Alligator mississippiensis: one gene and its partner. The protein of the gene in region 1 purifies or fractionates together with the protein of each later gene. This does not show direct contact. Links are inferred from orthologs where the notes say so. Each region holds a gene or a part of one and is shown on either strand. Other genes may lie near its edges.

What was found. The genes of interacting proteins can lie anywhere in the genome.
Region 2: the proteins of NPM1 (region 1) and RPS28 purify together in Homo sapiens (affinity purification with mass spectrometry; 3 studies listed by BioGRID and IntAct, with this or other methods). This does not show direct contact. The link is inferred for Alligator mississippiensis from reciprocal best matches to the Homo sapiens genes NPM1 and RPS28.

What each region holds. Positions count from the first base shown.
Region 1 is NC_081832.1:47,796,607-47,806,385, forward strand, and holds the start of NPM1 (nucleophosmin), read right to left. Parts: upstream 4,661-9,779; 5' UTR 4,601-4,660; coding exon 4,537-4,600; intron 4,058-4,536; coding exon 3,978-4,057; intron 552-3,977; coding exon 432-551; intron 1-431. UniProt on the Homo sapiens protein: Involved in diverse cellular processes such as ribosome biogenesis, centrosome duplication, protein chaperoning, histone assembly, cell proliferation, and regulation of tumor suppressors p53/TP53 and ARF.
Region 2 is NC_081839.1:9,769,445-9,779,566, reverse strand, and holds RPS28 (small ribosomal subunit protein eS28), read right to left. Parts: upstream 4,158-10,122; 5' UTR 4,095-4,157; coding exon 4,056-4,094; intron 3,979-4,055; coding exon 3,931-3,978; intron 2,650-3,930; coding exon 2,527-2,649; 3' UTR 2,519-2,526; intron 518-2,518; 3' UTR 381-517; downstream 1-380. Other genes in the region: NDUFA7 (NADH dehydrogenase [ubiquinone] 1 alpha subcomplex subunit 7), read left to right, coding at 4,230-4,280, 4,367-4,416, 8,075-8,224, 8,584-8,650. UniProt on the Homo sapiens protein: Component of the small ribosomal subunit. The ribosome is a large ribonucleoprotein complex responsible for the synthesis of proteins in the cell. Part of the small subunit (SSU) processome, first precursor of the small eukaryotic ribosomal subunit.

The sequences.
Region 1 (9,779 bases):
ATCGTACATGGGTTCGCAGGATGTTCTGGATAAAGAGTCCTTTAATACAGAAATAAGTGGCTGAAACTTCTGAATCAAGTTACTTCTTTATTACATCCAGATCAGATAAACTTTCAGTGGAAAAGTAAATTTAAGAAGCCAGAAGGCACCTCATGAATATTCCCATATTTTATTACTTTACAATTGAAGCTTTTAAAAAACTAATCTACCTGCAATGTCTGGGAACTAAGTTTGTAAAGGTTTATAATTGAACCAGCGTGCCAAAACCCATGAGTGAACTGCCTAGACAAATTCAACTATTTTAGTAGAGAAACACAAATGAAACAAATTGGAATGTAATATTTTTATCATTCAGATGCCTAATCTGCTACTGTCCCTTCCCCAAGACAAGTTTATGTCAAGTTTAATAATGCCAATATAACTGTCCTTACCGTAGGCTGCACCGACATTTTCAAAGATGCAAGAGTCGCTTTAATAGGGTTCCCCTCGTAGTCCAATGCCTCTGCTTCTATGACATGCAATTCATCTTTGGCACCAGCCCCCAAACTAACCTATGCAAAGAATGAAACATATTGTACATTATTAGAACTATCCCTAACTTGCAAAACTTGAGCATTAACTTGTAAATGTATACGAAGCCCAAAGTGGGATTTTTTGTCTCAAGACTAGAGGGTTTCTCACGGATGTTCTTCCTCTATTTTTGCAGGAAAGCTACTGGTAACTAAACTATCAGCATCACAATGAAGCTGAAACAAGCTAATCTTCAATAAGGAAATGATTATTACACTAAACTTTTTAATGCTGCAAGATTTATTCAACAAGGCCTAAACTTATTAAATAGCTGTTTTATTCAACCTATTCTGCAAAACCTAGAATTAAATCCAGTAAACAACTTGGGTACCTGGTTCCTACACTGGAACCTAGTGATCAGAACTATGCACTCGTGCTCCCTATGTAACAATAAAATGTCAGTGCTGCAGAATGGCCCTACAGGCTCAGCAAGCTGCTTAAAGGAAGCCTCAGTATCAGCCTTAGAAAACATGCAACAGGTGCAACTGAGGGCAACTTATTCTTCAAACAGCATTGTAGACACTCTTCTGTAGTTTAGGCATCGGCTGAGCTGGGAGTTACTGAACCCCCAATGTTGAGTGTGGTAGCAGATGACTGAACAAGGAGCAATGGTTTCAAGTTACAGCAAGGGAAGTTTAGGTTAGATATTAAGGAAACTCTCACAAGGAGGGTAGTAAAGCACTGAAACGGGTCACCCAGAGGTTGCGCAATCTCCAACCTTAGAGATTTTTGAGACCCAGCTAGACAAAGGCCTTGGCTGGGATGATAATTGGTCCTGCTTTGAGCAGGGAGTTGAAGTAGCTGACTTCTTGAGGTCCCTCCTAATCTTAATTTTCTATGATTCTAAGCCATTCTCAAACACCATACTGAAACACCGCTGGATCTAGAGTGACTATGATCAAGCTAATCTCATTGATCAGGGGTGTCCAACCCTTTTGAGTGTGGGGCCAGAACATGAACTTTTTATCAGCCAGTGGGCCAGCAGAAGCAGATGCTTGTGTGGCCCGTCCAGTCCAGCCATGGCCTGGGGGCGCTGCCTGACCCCATGTCCTCCCTGCCACCTGGGCAGCCTCAAGGATGCTCCCATACCACGTGCCCGGGCTCAGCAGCCAGGAAAACATGCGGGGACTCTACGGGGACATGCAGGGACACCCCCCTGCTCCCTCTCCCCTGGGGCAGCCCAAGCCCAACCAGCAGGGCTCCCTCCCTCCCCCGGGCCTGCAACTCACGACCCCCAGCGCAATGCCTGCGGGCGCAGGGGGATGTGGGAGCCGTGCCAGCTTTCCGCCCGAACAGCCACAGCAGCAGTGGCAGCAGCATCTCCTGCGGACCCGGCCACAGCATCCCTCCAAGCCGGCATCCGCGCCCCGTGAAGCCGCCTCCTGCACAGCAACCTGCTCCAGCCCGCGCAGCCAGCGGGGACCAGCACAGGGCAGGGCTGGCATGCAAATGAGGAAGGGAGGGGAGGGGCTAGGAAGGGACACCGTGAAATGAGGGGGATGGGGAAGAGCCACACCACATCAGCAACGTCTAGCTGAAGTGGGGCATGTGGGAACCCAGTCCCTTCCCCAGCCCGTCAGTAGCCATTAGGAAGCTGCTGAGAGGCTGGGCGAGGGACAAGGGGTAGAAACAAAAGTAAACAGTGTTTACTTTCATTTCCTGTCGAAGCACCTCTGGCTTCAGAAAATGGCTTGGCGGGCTGCATGGCAGCCCACAGGCCATATGTTGGACAAACCTGTCATAGATCAAGTAAATTTGTTGGGAGATGGATGCTATTTTAGGAACAAGGATATACATAATGCAGATAGTTACAAAAAAGCAAGCAGAAGCTAGATACCAGAGGAAAACTATCCTGCCTTTACCTGTATGTAACAGTACCTGCATGGATGTGTTGACAAATGAAAACACATGCATTTCACCTCATTTGCTCTCTAGAGTAGATCTGTGTATTTCAGCTGGTGGAACAGCTAGCCAGTACCAGACAAGATCTGTATCCAGGGATACTTGGCACATGGCTTCACTTGTATCCGTTACAAGATCTAATTAAAGCTATTATTTGTTTTCTGGATGACCAAGCTGTATACATTTTACGTGGGGGTATTGTAGATAGATGTGCGCATTAAACACAACAACTATATATGTAATGCAAGTCACTAGAGGTACATCAGGGGGGCTGGGCTACACCGTGCATGGGAGGAGGCTGCAGCCACCCCAAATTTCACCATAGCCCTCCCCAATGCCCATCAGTTACTGGTACTGGCCCCCAAAATCAATATCAGTGCACCCCCACAAGTTACATATAACATGCAATACAGAGAACCTCCATTTTCCTGTTGAGAGCTGAAAAGCAAACTGGTAGCCACGAACTGATAACTGTAAATTTTGAATAAGCTATTTGACTGACCTATGTAAACCCAGGAACAACATGAAGGACCTAAAAAGCCTTTTTTGCCACTTTGTTTATTCATTGGACTCAGAAACTTTTATTACAAAGCCAGCAAAATATCTGTTGGCACATTACCCAGCCACTTTTAAACACCATTTTCCCCCACCACCTGCATCCCCTACACCAATCTAGATCCTCTGGCACAAATTGACCTTTTACTCTAGCAAATATAGAACTTTTACTAGCTTGCAACTTGCTCCCTTTTCTTCCTTTTTAATGTCAACCTTCCCTTCTGATATTTTTCTGAATATAGAAAAAAGTGACAGACCCGAATGATGGTCACTTGTTAAATGCATTAACTTTTTTCTCTAGGACCTCTCTCCTTGCCACTGGATGACTGCTACAAGTTTTCTACTTGCCTCTCTCTCTCACCATTCATTTCCCAGCCACCTGAGGTACTTATTTCTTTGCTTTTTTACCGTTTTAGCCATGTCCCCATCAACACTTATCTATTCACTGCAATCCAAATTCCAGTTTTCTAAGTAGACAGGAAGTGACCTGCCCTATCCCTCTTTCTTCATCTTCTATGCTAAAAAATTTCAGGTGCAGGAGTGGGCATTAAAGGGCACCTGATGCCCAAGCTTACACAACAGCTCTCCCAAATGTATATTTGGGTCCAGAAAAAAGCATCACAGAAAAGCCTTACTCCTACAGCTCTTGCACCATCGTGGCTATAACAGTGTTCCCATTTCAGTATTTCCCCGATTTCCAACAACCATCCACTGAAATGAGGCCACTGACCCCAAAAAGCCCCAATGAAGACCTAATTCTGGGCAACCAACTGGGGCAAACCCAAGCTTGTGAAGCAGCCAGTGCAAACTTGTTCACATCTGGGCACCCATCAGCAAAGTCCAGCAACAAGCTATGGAGAATTGTTGCTGGCTTCAAGAACTGGGCTGTGGTCCCCAGATCCTGCAGCAAAAACCCTCCCCTCAGGCCCTCCCGCCCAGCCCAGCCCTACCGTCCTCAGCGACAGCTGGTGTTCGTTCTCTTCGTCGTTCACTTTGAAGTGGAAGTCCTTGTCCGCCTTCAGCTCGCAGCCTGGGGGTAGGAGAGAAGAAGACGTCACAAGCTCGTCTGGGACCACGAGCTCACCCCTTCCCCGCGCGGGGCTCGAGACCCGGCCCGGCCCGGCCCAGCCCAGCGGCGCCGCCTCTGCAGGCCACGCGCTTCGCGGGGCTTTCCCGCGCCAAAGAACCGCCCGCAGCCGCGGTAGCACCACGGCCCCCGTCCCCGGAGCCTGCGGCGATGCCAGCCCCGCCTGCCGCCGCCACGTGCGCTCGGGCAGGAGCCGCCGCCCTCGCGGCACAAAGCGCGGCCGGGCCCGGCAGGGGCTGCAGGCCCCGGCGCCGCCACGTGCTCGCGGCCGCCACGTGCGGGGGGGAGGGGGCGGCGCCTGCCGCACGAGCCCGCCGCGCCCGCCCCGCCCCCGGCCCAGCCGCGCGGATGCAGCCGCCGCCGGGCCCGACCGCGCGGGAAGCAGCCGCAGGGCCCATCGGCCCGGCCCGCCCGCGCGTTACCGAAGAGGAAGGTCTGCGGGCGCAGCGGGCCCATGCTCTCCACGTCCATGGCGCTGTCCTCCATCTTTTCGGCGGCGGCAACGGCGGCGGCGCTGCGCCCCGGACGGAATCGCACTGAGGGGGGAAGCTTGCGCGCCGCCCCGCACTTATAGCCCGGAGGTCTCGCGAGAGCGGCGCCGGGCCCCGCCCCCGCGCGACCCTCGGCGCAGGCGCCTGGCACTTCCTGCCCCCTGTCCTCCCGCCGCCAGGCCCCCGCCGGTGGCTACGTGCATCAGCCCCGCGCTCGGGCGGCCCCGGGGCGTCCGCGCGGCCTCTCCCGGGGCGGGGGCTCCCGGGACTAAGCCCGGCCTGCGTCTACGTCGCGGCCACCGGAACCCGAGACACAGGGAGCCCCGTAGAAAGGCAGCGCAGGGCGCACGTGCCGCAGCTGCCTTCCAGCTGCCCTTTTTTTTTTTAATTATTCTGAGACGATTCTCACGGCGCCACGCTCGGCCCCACCCACACCGCTGCGAGAGAAAATCGGTCTGGCACCCTGGCTTGTGCCCTGGGAGAAGAGGGGGGTTAGGACATGGGTAGGTAAGCCCCAGCACGACGCACACAGCCACGCTGCTCGGCCCACGCACCTGGGGCACAGGCAGGGGAGCTGCGAGGGCCCCGGCCCCTTGCCCACCCTCTGCCTCAAGGCCTCGAGCACCCGCTGCCAGCAACAAGCTGGGCCGGGGCTCTGCAGACCCCAGCACATCTGCTTGCAGCTTGTCCACTGCCTGCTGCAAGCAGCCCCGTGGCAGAGGCCTGCCCAGAGCCTGGGACTAGCTTGGCAGGCAGCCGGGAGGCTGCACACAGCTGCACTGGCATCCAGAGAGACCTGGCCCAGTCTGCACATGCAGTTTGGGGCAGACAGCAGGGAAGATGTCAGGGCTGAGCTGCCACAACAAAGATTGGGCCCGCTGCAGCTCCCCGGCTGTCCATCCCTGCTTGCCAACATCTTACAGGTTGCTGGTGTCTTTGGCACTCTGCCCAAAAATGTTGCCAACCTCTAGTTTAGGAGATGATGTTAAAAGGCAGAGGGGGGTTACGAAAAGGATACATGGGGATGAGTGATAGGGAAGGAGCAAGCTTTTGGAAGTCATAGGCCAGAGGGAGTAGTACCTGAGGGGACATTGGAGTAGGGAGTGTTGTAACACTAGTACCTGGTAGCCACATGGGACTTCTGGCCCTAAGATAAAATACTTTCCCAGTCTCCCCTACATATTATCTACAGGGCTGTCCATGGGGAGTGGTTAGCCCCACTCATTTCAGCACACAGCAGAGTGAGAGGAGGCTGGCACTTGAAGGGGTCTGCACCCTTTGCTCTATATGAACCAGCATTTGGATAAATCATGCTACTCTGGTGTGGTTCAGGTCTCATCCATGCCTCCCCAGTGAGCCGACATCTGAAAAACACTTCTGAGGAGGAAGCTGAAAGCATGAGGAAGACAAACATTTTTGCTAAACTTAGGTTCTGAAGCACTCACTGGAGGGAGATGGGTGAAAACACCCACTGAGATGAATGGAGCACTTCACACATTTCACAACTGTTGTTTCAACCTGTATTCATATGCATGGATTTAGTCAGTACAGAACATCCCTTTTTGTGAAGTGGCCCATTTAGCTCAATGCGAGCATCTCTGCTCTGTATGCAAGTTCTGCTCAAGTGTCAACTCAGCCCACTCTTATTTGCTACTACTTGGAGATTTTGCCTGCCTTAAAGGCATAGTTTCTCAGCCTGTGGTACATGTACCTCTGGGGATACACAAGGCACAGGCAGGGGGTACACAGGCACCAAAACCCCTGTAGTAAGGGGGCGCCACCACTCCCTCCGCTGCCACTGGGTTCGCGTCCAGCTGCTTGCTGCCCCCACCTCCCCAAGCCGGCCACAGGCACACACATACCCACGCACTCCCCACTGACTCAGCCACAGGCAGGTAAGTTTCTTTATCCTGTCTGGGCTTGGGGGGGGGGCAAACCCACACAATGCAGGGGGGAGTACAGTAGGGGCAAGGCACTTCCCCACTCTCCTGCACTGTGGGAACTGCCCCATGACCTGGCCTGCCTGGGGCCCAGTTCACTCTGCGCAGGAGGGAGCAGGCTGCCACTGTAGGCTGGGGCTAGTGGCGGCACCGGGCTCTTCCCGGCACTCAGGGCGGGCTGCGGTGATGGGGTGGCAGCAGCCCCCCTCCCAAAATTCACTGTAGCCCTCCCCAAACTGCCCTCCAGTGTCATCACTGAACACCGGGAAAGCCTAGTGCCACCATCGACTTCAGCCTGTAGCCAGCCTGGGCTCGGCAGCTGCAGCAAGCAGCTGCACCGGGCTCTGCACCTCAGAGCAGACAGCAGGGGAGGGTTGCACTGCCTCAGACCCTATCCCCAAGTCTCTGTTCTGAGGCACACACACAGTCACTGGAATGGAGCAGATGCCAGGGCTGCAGAGCCCGGTGCAGCTGTTTGCAGCCTGCCCACTGCGGCTGCCCAGAGCCCAGGCTGGCTACAGGCAGGGGTCAGGGGTGGCACTGAGCTTTTCTCTGCGCTGCCTCAGGGCCCCCCCACCGGCTGCTCTGCTCCAAGGCACACAATGGTGAAGCCCAGAGCAGCTCTTTGCAGCCTCCTGGCTGCAGCCAGCCCAGGCTCAGGGTAGCTGCTGCCAGCCACAGAGCCCAGGGTGCTTGCAACAGGACTTGCAGCCTCCCAGCTGCCTGTTTGGAACAGCCTGGGCTCCATGGCTGGCAGCAGCTGCCTCCTTGTCAGTCTCTCACCCTCTTTTCCTCTCAGAAGTATGGCAAAAAATTTGGTGTGCCGCACATTGTGTGGCGCTTTAAATTCCCTAGTAATAATTTGGTGTGTCGCACTTTGCGTGGCACTGGGCTCAGCCCTCCTAGCTTTGGCCAACATCACCTCTAGCCCAGGTACATACTTAAGTTGTGCAACCCTGGTGTAAAAGGTGGCAACCCTACCCACACCAGATCAGACATCTGTCATATCACAGCCCTTCTTCCAACATATGGCACACATTAGTCTGTAAATATAAAATCCCCTGGAAAATTGAGTGTTGGAATACTTATTTAAGAACTTTCAGAAGTTAAGGGGTAGTTGCTACTCAAAAGGTTGAGAAACACTGCCTTAAGGAACTGAAAGTTAGCCTACTCCACAGAAAGAACACTACATCTGTTAAGATTTACCCTAATGTACATAAACCCACTTAGCCTAACGTGCATAATGCTACCCAACATTATACTCTCGCTTTTCTGTCATTAAATCGTACTCCTACCTAACTTCTGATGATCACCTGGACAAAACAAACTTGTGCCTTTTTACCAACACAACCTGCACAGTGCAATGCTGGAGTGAGGTATACTGGAACTTTCAGAAAGCCTTCTGGATACTTGACTACTAAACAAATCCCCCCCCAGCTCTTATCTAGTCTAAACAATCCTAGTTTTTTCAGCCTTTTCTCATAAGTCATGTTTTTCAGGCCTCTAATAATTTTTGTTGCTCTCTGCTGGACTTTCCAATCTGTCCACTTCTGTCTTGGAAGTGTGGGACCAAGAACTGGACACAATATGCCAGATGAAGCCTCACCAGTGCTGAATGTAGTGGAACAATCTCTTCCCTGAATTTGCAAGAAACACTCCTGTCAATACAACCCAGTATATTGTTGGCTTTTTTGCAGAGAGATCACATTCATTCACAATTTACGGTTTATTGCAACTCCCACCCCCAAGGTCCTTCTCCCATATATTCCCCAAGTCCATATTTGTTCATGTAATTATTCCACCACACATGCAAGACTTTAAATTGAATTTTGTTTAATTAATCATGGACCACTTCTATTTATCCTGATCATTCTGAACCCTAGCTCTACCATCCAGTGCATCTGCAGCTCCACCCAACTTGGTTTCATCTGCAAAATTTGCTAAACTTGCACTCAGTCCCATTCTCCAAATTGAGAATTTCCTTTTTATTGCTTTTTACATTCCTTGCCTGTTGCATCTCATTAATATATTTCCCTAAAAAGGTAGCATCCTGGGAATAGGAGGTACTCATCTTCCCCTCTGGCTTCTTGGTTCCACAAGTGAGATTTAAGAAAAAGTACAAGAAGTGTAATTTAATCTCCCCACTCCTTTCTTACCAGTTTTGATCAACAGTAAAATAACTGACAACAGCCACATTTGCATGACATTTCATCATTGGCATCCACATTAACACCCTGCCAAGATGAATGAATATAGGTTGTTCACAACTCTTAGAACTAAGTTTTTTAAGCTCACATAGCTACATCACAAAATCTAAACCAGATATTAATCTAAGGGCTAATCTAAACCAAAAGGTACCACCAGGGTAGCTACCTTGGCAGTCATCATAGCAAAACTCCTGAGCTGAGACACAACTTATGCTGACAGAAGGTATTCTGTCACCACCATTAAAATATCCCTTTTGTTGTTTATGGTGTTACCAACAAAAAGATTTTTTTGACACTGCATGTTCGGTCTTTCTAAGGCAGGTGGGGAAGGGGTGTTGCCAGTATAGCCAAGGCCTAGTCTATACAATACTGTTCAGTCACCAGAACTCTGGTGGGAAACTTTGAAGGCTTCTCTGCCAACAGAATTACATCACCTTTGCCCTGTGAAAGAAGGATTCTGCCATCACTGAGAAGCTGGCAGAAGGTAAATGTAGACACTCCTGCACCTACTACTGGCTTTGGTAGTCCCTTCAGCAGTCAGTACCTTTCCAGGCTGCACTCTATCCTGCTGATATATTTGCTGCTGTGGAACCCTCCCAAGCACTGGGATGCACATATGCTCTGGCAGCTAGGTGATAACAGCTGCTGTCTAGTGCCAGAATTTCTGGTAGCACAGCAAGGTAAATATAAAGAAAGTCCATGTGAGAAAGTGAGAAACCCAATCACACTCCCACCCAACAAAACTACTAGCAAAACTTTGTACTATAAAGCTGGGCTGTTATCTTCAGATTGATCTACATTTAAGTTCCCCTATCACTGCAGCTGTTTTGCTTAGGCATGTAATAAGCCAAACACTTAGTGAGAGCCCTTGCATAGATGCAACTAGACTAGTATAGAAAGGTGCTTAATACCAATCTAACTGACTTTGGATCCATAAGTATTACAGTGAGTCATTATAATGGTAATTTATTAATCACTGTTCATTTCAAGTAAAGAATACAGATATAACTATATACTGGAACAACTA
Region 2 (10,122 bases), on another chromosome or scaffold:
TTCTGAATCAGAACTTCCTAGACCCTAAATGCTGGAGGCTGCAAGTGGGAAGGGTCACACCCTTGTCATTCTACCAGTGTCTATGAGACAGGATCCTGGGTATGACAGACCTACAATATGATCCACCAAGTGGTTGTTCTTGTACGTTCTCATTTGTCTCTCCAGGACCTAAGATGTACCAAATACTTTTCAGCTCTCTGAAGTACAGGCATGCACTTGCTTGCAGAACGATACAAAATCCTTCAGTTACAAGCAGTTTTAACAACTTTTAAATCAAAGTAAGGAACTTAATAGCTCAGTGCTTTCTCCCTGGAATTATTCTGGCCAATGAAGCCAGCAGAAGTACACACATCTTATCTTACATGAAAAAGGCAATGTGGTACTGGAAAAAAAAAATCCTTTATTTTAGTCACTGAAATGCAATGCCCCTCTTCATGCACGTCTGGCAGCACAGATGTTCACTGCTACTTCATTACAGCCGTGTAGAATGAAAGGTAGATGCACCAGGATTAGTCATCTGAAATAAATCATGCATATTTTAGTTAATCTCATATATGCATCAGGAAACCATTTCCAAGGCAATAAAATACTAGAAAAGCAACTAAAGCATGTCATTTTACTCCTACCCAGTGAGAGAGAGCTTGAAAATATTATTGGTGATACTGCAGCTTATGCAGTGTAACTAGTAGGAATTAGCACCTTACCTGTTTGCCTATAATCATCATAGGTTTCTAGTGGAGCCTCAAACTTCAGGACCACATATACAACTAAAGATGAGCTGCACTTTATCAATGGAAATATTCTGAGCCATTTTCAGAAGTACTAACTGCCTAACCCAGGGGTAGGCAATTATTTGGGCTGGAGGGCCACTTCATGAGTTTTGGCAAGTTGTTGAGGGCCACACGCACTCACTTTCCGCAGCAGAGCTGGCACATGAGCAGCAACAGGAGTCCAGGGTCTGCAGGGCTGGACTGCATCTGCCAGGTACTGTGGAGGACACTGGGCAGAAGCAGCCCCATCTCCAATCTGGCACCATGAGGCAGGTCCCAGCTGGACACCATTCAGTGCTGGGTGGTCAGGGAGGCAGTGCTGCTTCCACCCAGTGTACCTGGCAGCACTGGGGAAATAGAGCTTGGTCCCACAGACCCTGGGTAGGCAGGACAGCTTCCACCCACTGGCCCCCACCTCACCAGCAGAGGCCAGGGCCTGCCTCCCAAGACTAGACTATTTTACATAGATAAGGTTATTTCTAGAAGAGTCAGTCCAAAGACATCTGTATACTATGTAAATTACTATGGCTTTGGACCTGAATTTCAGCTTGGACTGAATGCTTGACACGATTGGATTTGAAATCAAAACCTGTGTTTTGTTTCCCAAACTCTTGCCTTGAAAATAGCAGTGAAAGACTGCAGAGCATCTCTAGGCAAAGTGTGTAAAACAAAACTAAACCACTGTGCTCAGCCATGCAGAGGCAAACATCAAATTCACTCACTAGACAATATTACTGTGTCTAAACAGCAGTTAAGACAGTCAGATGCTAAACTTTTCCAAACTAAACCAAAACTTTTCACTTGGTATACTCTGAAAAAGAGTCGTGGTCATTCTCATGACTGCTAATTTAATTCTTTGCTACTAAGCCCAAACAGGAAATATTTGTAATGTAGGTCAGCCCATGGAAAAAGTCATGGCAATATTAAAATCTTATTTTCTGATGCAGGAATAGCTAGTTTACCAAAAATAATTCTATGCTGAACACTCATCCAAGTTGCCAAGGCCTAAATGTCAAACCTTACATTCTATACTTGTTTTTCCATATAAGACTCAGATTCAGAGTTAAGATCCCTAACCTTCAGTCAGGGTCTCACATAACCACAGATCACTCTAAATCAGCGGGTCTCAAGGAAGCCCTCCCTGGACTTTCGTGAACTGAGTGGTGGCACAATTTCAGAAACTAAAATGTATGCGCTACAGTGCTTATTTCCTTGCAGAAAGGACGAGGCAGTAAGAGGAGGGGATGATCCACACAGGGACAAGCCTGAGCCTATGCTTATCTGCTCATGTCCTCACACCTTGAGGCATCCTTTAAAGCAGTGTGTTTAGGGACCTCAGCCTATGGGACGCGATCCAATAAAGTGGGTCATCCGAATATATGAACTTAAAAAAAAAAAATGGATTCTCCCTTAAAGAAAAGTATGGGAAACCCTGGCTTTTCCCTTGCAGACTGTCAGGTGTTTCAACCTGCAAGGGGATGCTCAGGGCCCCCCCCCCATACACCCCACCATGCCCCACACAATGGGTTGGGACTGGCCATCAATATTGACAAATGGATCCTGGTACAAAAAAGGTCGAGAACCACTGCTTTAAAGGATCTCATGGCACCCCAAGATGTCACAGCACCCTGGTTAAGAATCACTGCTCTACAGTCCAGGCAGATACCCCAGCTCTGTGCTTAAGAGGCTCAAATGAAGATCATGCAAAAAGATCTCTTTAAAACCTGAAAGTGAAATAAATGAGTTACCATGCTGATCAACGCAACCTCCTTGCTTCACGTTCGGATTCCAGCAGCGTTAGGACATCCCCCTCGCGGACGGGTCCTTTCACGTTCCGGATAATGGATCGGCTGGTGTCATCCATAAATTCAACACGAACCTACCAGTGACCCAACAGAAAAGTCTAAACAAGTGTACTTCACCATACCACTCACCCTCTGAAACTGCTGCTCCAGATCACTACATCCTACTCCTAACAAACCCGCTATTCATGGCAACTAGAGGTGCACTGATACAATGGTTGGCTATCGGGTCGACACCAATAAAAGAAGTGATGTTAGCGGCTATTGGCTTTTTTGGTCATTATAGCTGATATTTACGGCCGCAGGCCAGGAGCATCCCGATGAGTGTACTCCTGTCCCTGTGCCCCACCATCCGCCAGAGGCCACCGCAGCAAGCAGTGGGAGGGGGAAGGGTGTCAGGGAGTAGTCACAGAGCCCCACGCTCAGCAACAAAGTGACCAAAGGGACGGTTCCTGGGTCCTGCTGTGCACACAGCAGGGGCCCGAGCGCTGGGGTGGCCACAGATGGGTTGGATTGCACACAGGTGGGGTAAGGCACCATGCAAGGGACACTTCGCTTCTCTGGGCACCAGGTGCTGTGCGAAAGTGGCTTCTCCCTGGTGGCCGTGGCAGCTGGGCTGTGCAGGGCCCGCTGGCTGTGGCGAGGCAGCCGTGTGCTCTGGGGCTCCAAACACACCCAGCACCGCTGTCCACGCGAGGGTTGCCCTGCTCGCCAGGGACACCAGCACCGCGGGGAGCGCGGCTGCGCGTAGGAGCCGCGAGCGAGCGAGCAAGGCAGCGGCGTGCGTGCGTGGGAGCAAGGGGTCACTGCCTTCCTCGCCGAGGGCTGGAGCAGAGGAGGCGTGCGCGTGTGTATTATAAACACAAAACCAACGATAAGAGGCTTATGTCAGAAATTTAAGATGTCTTGCTGATCCAATAACCAATATTTAGAAATAGTGCATTAGTTGCCGTGGCTGGGTAATCATCGTCGGCTATCGGTATTGGCCGAGAAAGCCCGTCGGTGCGCCCCCAATGCCAGCCGTCAAGTCTCAGCGCCTCCCCTTAAAAAGTAAGGAACGGGGAAGTCAAAGTAAAATAAAACAATGGATCCCTCCAGAGAAAGGAGGTCAGGAACGGAGGAAGGAGGTCCCTCAACCACGCAGAGACGACGCAGCGCTCAGGCCCAGCCATAACGATTCAAACAAAAGCCCGGCCGCCGGGATTCAAGTGCATTTCCCGAAAGCGGCTCTGCCTGAAGGGAAACCCCGAGCGCGGGGCGGGCTTGCGGCGGCTCCTGCGGCGCGGGGAGGCCGGAGGCCCCCGCCCGCCCGCCCGCCGCCCTGCTCCCCCCGCCGGGCCGGCACCCCCGGCGCTCACCTGCGTGCACTGGCCCTGCGAGCCGGTCCGGCCCAGCACCTTGGTCACCTGCGGACACACACACGCGTCAGTGAGTGAGTGCCCCCCCCCCGGCCGCCCCGGCCCCGCACCCGCCGGCCCCGCACCCGGGCGAGCTTGATGGGCTGCACGCGACTCGTATCCATGATGGCGGCGGCAGCAATTGGGAGAGGGCGGGCGCTCCCCGCGCGCGCTTATATAGGCCGGGCCCGGCATGCACCGCGCGCCTCTCGCCCTGCACCGCGCCGGCCTCCTGCTTCCCAGCCTGCACCGCGCCCAAGATGGTGTCCGCCACCCCCATCATCCGCTGGATCCGCAACTGGCTGTTGGGGGTGAGCGGGGCGGGGCAGCGGCGGCGGCCCGGGGTGGGGGGGTCTGGGCGCGGCCCCGCCTGAGACGCTGTCCCCTTGCTTTGCAGCGGGACCTGCAGACCAAGCTCAACCTCCGCTACACGGAGATCTCCAGGAGGTGCGTCCCGCCGGGCCGGGCCGGGCCGGGGCAGCCGGCGGTGTCTTCCGCCCGCCGCCACCCCCAGCGCCCGCGGGCGGAGCCGAGACAGCCCCGTCTCGGGTTTTCTGGGCGGATGTGATGTCTTGTCAGCCCAGCTGAGTAGCAAGGTCTTGTCCAGCTTTGGGGTGCAGCTGCCCTGTCAGGCACGGGAGTCTCTGCTGGTCTGAGATCTCCAAGGGAGGAGAGATGCTGAGGTCTTGGCAGGATGTCAGGGAGGATGTAAATTGGTGGAAATTAGCAAGACAAGAGGTGACGCAGACAGGGGACGGGGAGGGGGAAGAGAGCAGGAGGGAAAACCAGCTAAAGGGAGACATTGGGTAGGTACATGGGGACGTTAGGTATGCAGGGAACAAGAGAGCAAATGGGAGTGTGGGGCCGCTGCGCAGCAACTCAAGACAGCTAGGTACCGGTACCCAGGAGAAAACTGAACTCCTGAATGATAGCTTTGCCTCTGTGTTTCAACAAGCCCCAGGGAAAATCATGCTAGATAGGGTACAGAATGAGCAGGGTAGACGTGGCCGCCTTCTTACTGTTGCCGAAGAACTGATGTGTGATCAATTAAAAAAAGTAGACATATATAAGTGAGCAGGACCGGATGAACTCCGTCTGCGGGTGCGGAAGGAGCTGGCCCAAGTCGTCGCCTGGTGAAACTGTCCCAAAACTCGTGGTGCTCCGGAGAGGTCCCTGAGGACTGGAAGAGGGCCAGTGGGTTCATTCGAGGCAGGTCCTGTCAGACCAACCTGGTGGCCTTCTACGACCAGGTCACACAATCCTTAGACACGGGTAGCAGTGGACGTAGTCTTTCTGGACTTTAGGAAGGCCTTTGACACTGTCTCTCACCCCATTCTCATTAAAAACTAGGGGACTGTGGCGTCGACACCTACACAGTCAAATGGGTCGCTAACTGGCTGGAGGGCTGCACCCAGAGTGGTGGTGGATGGGTCCTATTCAACCTGGAGGGATGTGGGCAGTGGAGTCCCCCAGGGCTCGGTCCTCAGGTCTGCACTATTCAATATCTTCCTCAGCGACTTGGACGAGGGGGTAAAAAGCACCCTGTTCAAATTTGCAGATGACACTAAGATGTGGGGGAAGTGGGCACGCTAGAAGGGAGGAATAGACTGCAATCGGACTTAGACAGGCTACAGGGAGGGGTGGGCGGACGAGAACAGGATGGGTTTCAACACTGACAAGTGCAAGGTGCTGCACGGGGGGGGGGGGAACCAGCAGCATACCTACAGGCTGGGGAAATCCCTTCTCGTCAGTGCAGAGGCAGGAAAGGATCTTGGAGTCATTATTGATGCCAAAATGAACATGGGCTGACAGTGTGGCGACACGGTCAGGAAGGCCAACCGTTCCTTGTCATGCGTCCACAGATGCATCTCAAACAGGTCCAAGGAGGTGATCCTCCCCCTCTATGCAATGCTGGTCAGGCCACAGTTGGAGTACTGCATCCAGTTCTGGGCTCTGCACTTCAGGAGGGATGTGGACAGCATGGAGAGGGTCCAGAGGAGGGCCACCCGCATGATCAGGGGTCAGCAGGGCAGACCCTATGAAGAGAGGCTACAGGACCTGAACCTGTTCAGCCTCCACAAGAGAAGGCTGACGGGGGATCTAGTGGCCGTTTAGAAACTAGTCAGAGGTAACCAGCAGGAGTTGAGGGAGTCCCTGTTCCCCCGAGCACTACCAGGAGTGACTAGAAATAATGGTCATGACTAGAAATAATGGTCACAAGCTAGCAGAGGGTAGATTCAGACTAGACATCAGGAGGCACTACTTCACTGTCAGGGCGGCTAGGACCTGGAACCAACTTCCAAGAGAAGTGGTGCTCGCTCCTACCCTGGGGGTCTTTAAGAGAAGGCTAGATGAACATCTTACCGGGGTCATTTGACCCCAGTACTCTTTCCTGCCATGGCAGGGGGTCGGACGTGATGATCTGCTCAGGTCCCTTCCAACCCTACCAACTATGAAACTAAAGAGGCTGGCAGGTTAGGCAAGTCAGAACTAAATGAAGTTCAACCTTGAGAAACGTAAAGTGCTCCACCAGGGGACGAACAATCCCTCGCACACCTGCAGGCTTGGAAACACCAATCTGACCAACACCACAGATGAAAGAGACCTGGGGGTTATAAGTGACCACAGTATGAATGTGCGGCAGTGCAACTCTGTTGTCAGCAGGACAGATAATACTCTGGCATGCATCGATTGATGAATCTCCAGCAAGACCAATGAGGTGATTCTTCCACTGTACTCGGCACCAGTGAGACCGCAGCAGCAGTACTGCATCCAGTTCTGGGCGCAGAACAAGGACGTGGTAAAACTTGAGAGTCAAGAGAAGGGCCACCTGTATGATTAGAGTCTTGCACAGCAAGCCGAACGCAAAAAGGCTGAGGGACCTGGGACTCTTCAGCCTGAAAAAGAGAAGGCTGAGAGGGGACTTGGTAGCAGTGTAATGCTACGTCAGGGGAGTACATCAGGGGCTCAATGAACAGCTGTTCACCAGGGCGCCCTTGGGGAGAACCAGGAGTAATGGCCACAAACTCCTGGAAGACCATTTCAGGCTCAAGATTGTGAAATGCTTCTTCACAGTCAGGCTGTCCAGACTGGAATAAACTCCCTCTAGAGGTCATGCAATCACCTACCCTGGATATCTTCAAGAGGAGACTCAACAGTCACCTTGCTGGGGTCACCTGACCCCACCTGTCACTTTTCCTGCCTGGTGCAGGGGGCTGGACCCAATGATCTGAGGTCCCTTCCAGCCTTACAATCTGTGAATCTTGTATTAATACCACTGTAATGTTTCCATTTGGCCTGTTTTTCCCCTGCCTCCTCTCCCCCCCACTTTACCTTGTTTCTCCTTCTTCCCTATTTATATTTTCACTACATCCTCTCACACTTGTAGTTTGTCTCATTCCTGTTTTCCTGATCTCCAACTATTTTCTTTTTAACTGATTAGCCTCTTTTCTACCTTGTATTCTATCACTGTAATGTCTCCCCTTAGCGTTTTTCCCCCTGCTCTCTTCCCCACCCTCTGCTTCACCTTTTGTCTTTCGATTTTCTACCTATTTACATTATCACTGACAATCCGGCCACACTTTTCTCTCATTGGAGTCTCAGAACAGCAGAGACTTCCTGTGCCTGAAGATGGGTGACTGCGCCCAAAAGCTTGCTAAGAACTTTTTCCAACTACTCAGCTGGTCTAATACAAGGAATCACATCTACCCAAAGAACCTTGCCTGTCTATGTCCTTAGACCAACACAGTTACAACCAGAAACTCTGTCTCTTTAGAGCATCCTAGTTCTTCCTGTGGGTGTGTTAGTGTAGCCCAGTGCCAGGCCACGAGCTCTCTCTACATATCCTTTTTTACTAATTTGCAGCTGAGCAATACTGAATCTTTTTAACACACTCCATAGACCTTGGAGCATGGGTGCTGAGAGCCCCTCTGTATTTCAGAAGTCCAGAATATCTCGCTGTGCTCTGTGAGCCTTTAGTTTCATTAAAAGGTGCTCTAAAGTCAGGTTTCTAGTTCTGAGTATTAGTAGTGATGCAGTAATAGTAAGAATCTGTTTTTTGCTTAATATCTTGTATGCTTTGAAGTTTTTTAAACTGTCTTCTTAGAACTCAGCCACCACCTCAACTTCCCTTGGGTCCCAGTCACAAATTTGCAGATAACTACTACTGTACCCGGGATGGACGCAGAGAGACCTATCCTCCAATTGTTGTTATGTCACCACAGAAAATCCTTGCATCAGGTGCTCAAGCTGGCAGGTAGGTCCTATTTATCTTATGACCTACGACCATACAAGATCTGGCTGTGACTTTGCTAGCTAAGCAGTGTCAAACTTGGTTGAAAATTAGTGTGGAGTACTACAAGGAAGCACACAGGTGCTAGTAATAGAATGCTGAATAAATGCCTCTGTGCATCTTCTCTTGAGAAATCAGCATGATTAGGGCTGGAGCTGGATTCCTTAAAACCTCTGCCTTATCAGTAGCTCTGAGCGAGTTATATGTGCGAATGGGAGGACAGCAATGGGATCTGCCTTAACTCTGCAGTGAAAACACCTCCAAAACAGCTAATATCCAAAAGAGTTAATGATTCCTGAAGCCTAGTCTCTCCTCCTTCCCAGCTCGGACTCTGCAGTAGCAACAACCGAGAAAAAGGCAGTGACACCAGGAGTTCCACTGAAGAAGTGAGAATTGTCAACGGATGAATCTTATCTGTAAACTAAACAAGTACGAAGAGAAGTCTCAATATGACGGTACTTCTCAGGATTGATTTAAAAGAAACAGTCTGCCTGAAAAGTGAGCAAAGTTAGCTTTGGTAATATTATTGAGAACTTACCTGTCTGAGAGAGTTTTGTTGGTGTCTGGTAAATAAATATTTATCTGTAATGTCTACTTTTGTTATTTTAGAGAACTCTTTCCACCTAAATGAGTTTTGGGAATGATTATTTTCCCCACCCCCCTCATTTTCCGTTAAAAAGAAAAAAAAGAGGGTCTAACTTTCTAAGCTCCACATCAGTGGGGCACCCCTTGGAAAATCCCATCTCTTAGCTTTCATTTGTTTTCTTGACTATGGAGAAATAATAAAGCAATTCTTCTGTTGCAAAGAACTCAAATACCACAACAGGTCAGAATGGTTTTGATACTGGATTCCTATTTGAAATCTCTGGATTTATTTTGTGAATCTTGTGTTGTTTTTGCACACCTAGCAGTTCTAATATTGCATGGCACCCTGTGGCACCCTCAAAAAGATCTCATGGCACCCTGCAGTGCTTCAGCACCCTGGTTGAGAATCAGTGCTCTAAGGTACACAACTTTGGCTAGAGATCTGAAGAGCTCACAAACCTAGCAGCTCCTGGAGAGAGACTCCAATACACAGTTGTTGTACAGAGTAGAATTGATGATACTTCCATGTGAGTTATTACTAAAGGAGTACTCTCCATTGCTGCTACAGGGCATGGTTTTGTAAGTGGTGCCATAGCCGGGATGGGGATTATAACTTCAAATTCCTGATCACAGATGTTGGCTATTGAGACTGTAGCAATTTCCAAGCATCTCCAGCCAAAGAGACATTTGTCCAAATTACTAGAAATAAACTCCAGCTCAAATATCACGTTAGAAATGGGCAATTCTAATTGAATAATTATTCTAACAGGAAGTGAAGAACTTTGAATAGTTAGTATAAAGTGTGCCACTCCATATGGTATCGTTTACCTTTTCGACTGATTGTCTGAGAGATAACGTGCATTAAGTGTGATATTGACTGTTGTTCGTTCCCCAAGGAATCCATTTATTTCCTCTCCTGGCCATGTCAGGCTTTACTGACAATTTTTTATGCCTTTGGGACATACAGATTGCTCCTAATTCCAGAGTTTCCTTGAAGAGTAGGTGGGTTAACCTAGCCTGCAGGTAATGCAATACTCAAATCCCTGGGCAACACGCATGGGTGGGGGGGGGGTGTGCCCACATGTGTGTAAGGGACTGCAGACTGACTAGGTCTTCTGAGTTTATATCCTTGTGCAGCTCAGTAAGATGAGCTCTACTGTTTTTTTTTTCTTTTTCCCCAGTGAATTTTAAGAATTTGTTTGTCCTTCTGGATACATGATGGGTAATTGCAGGAAGGATTAGAGGGCTGTGGCATTTGAGCAGTTTAGGCTTCATTC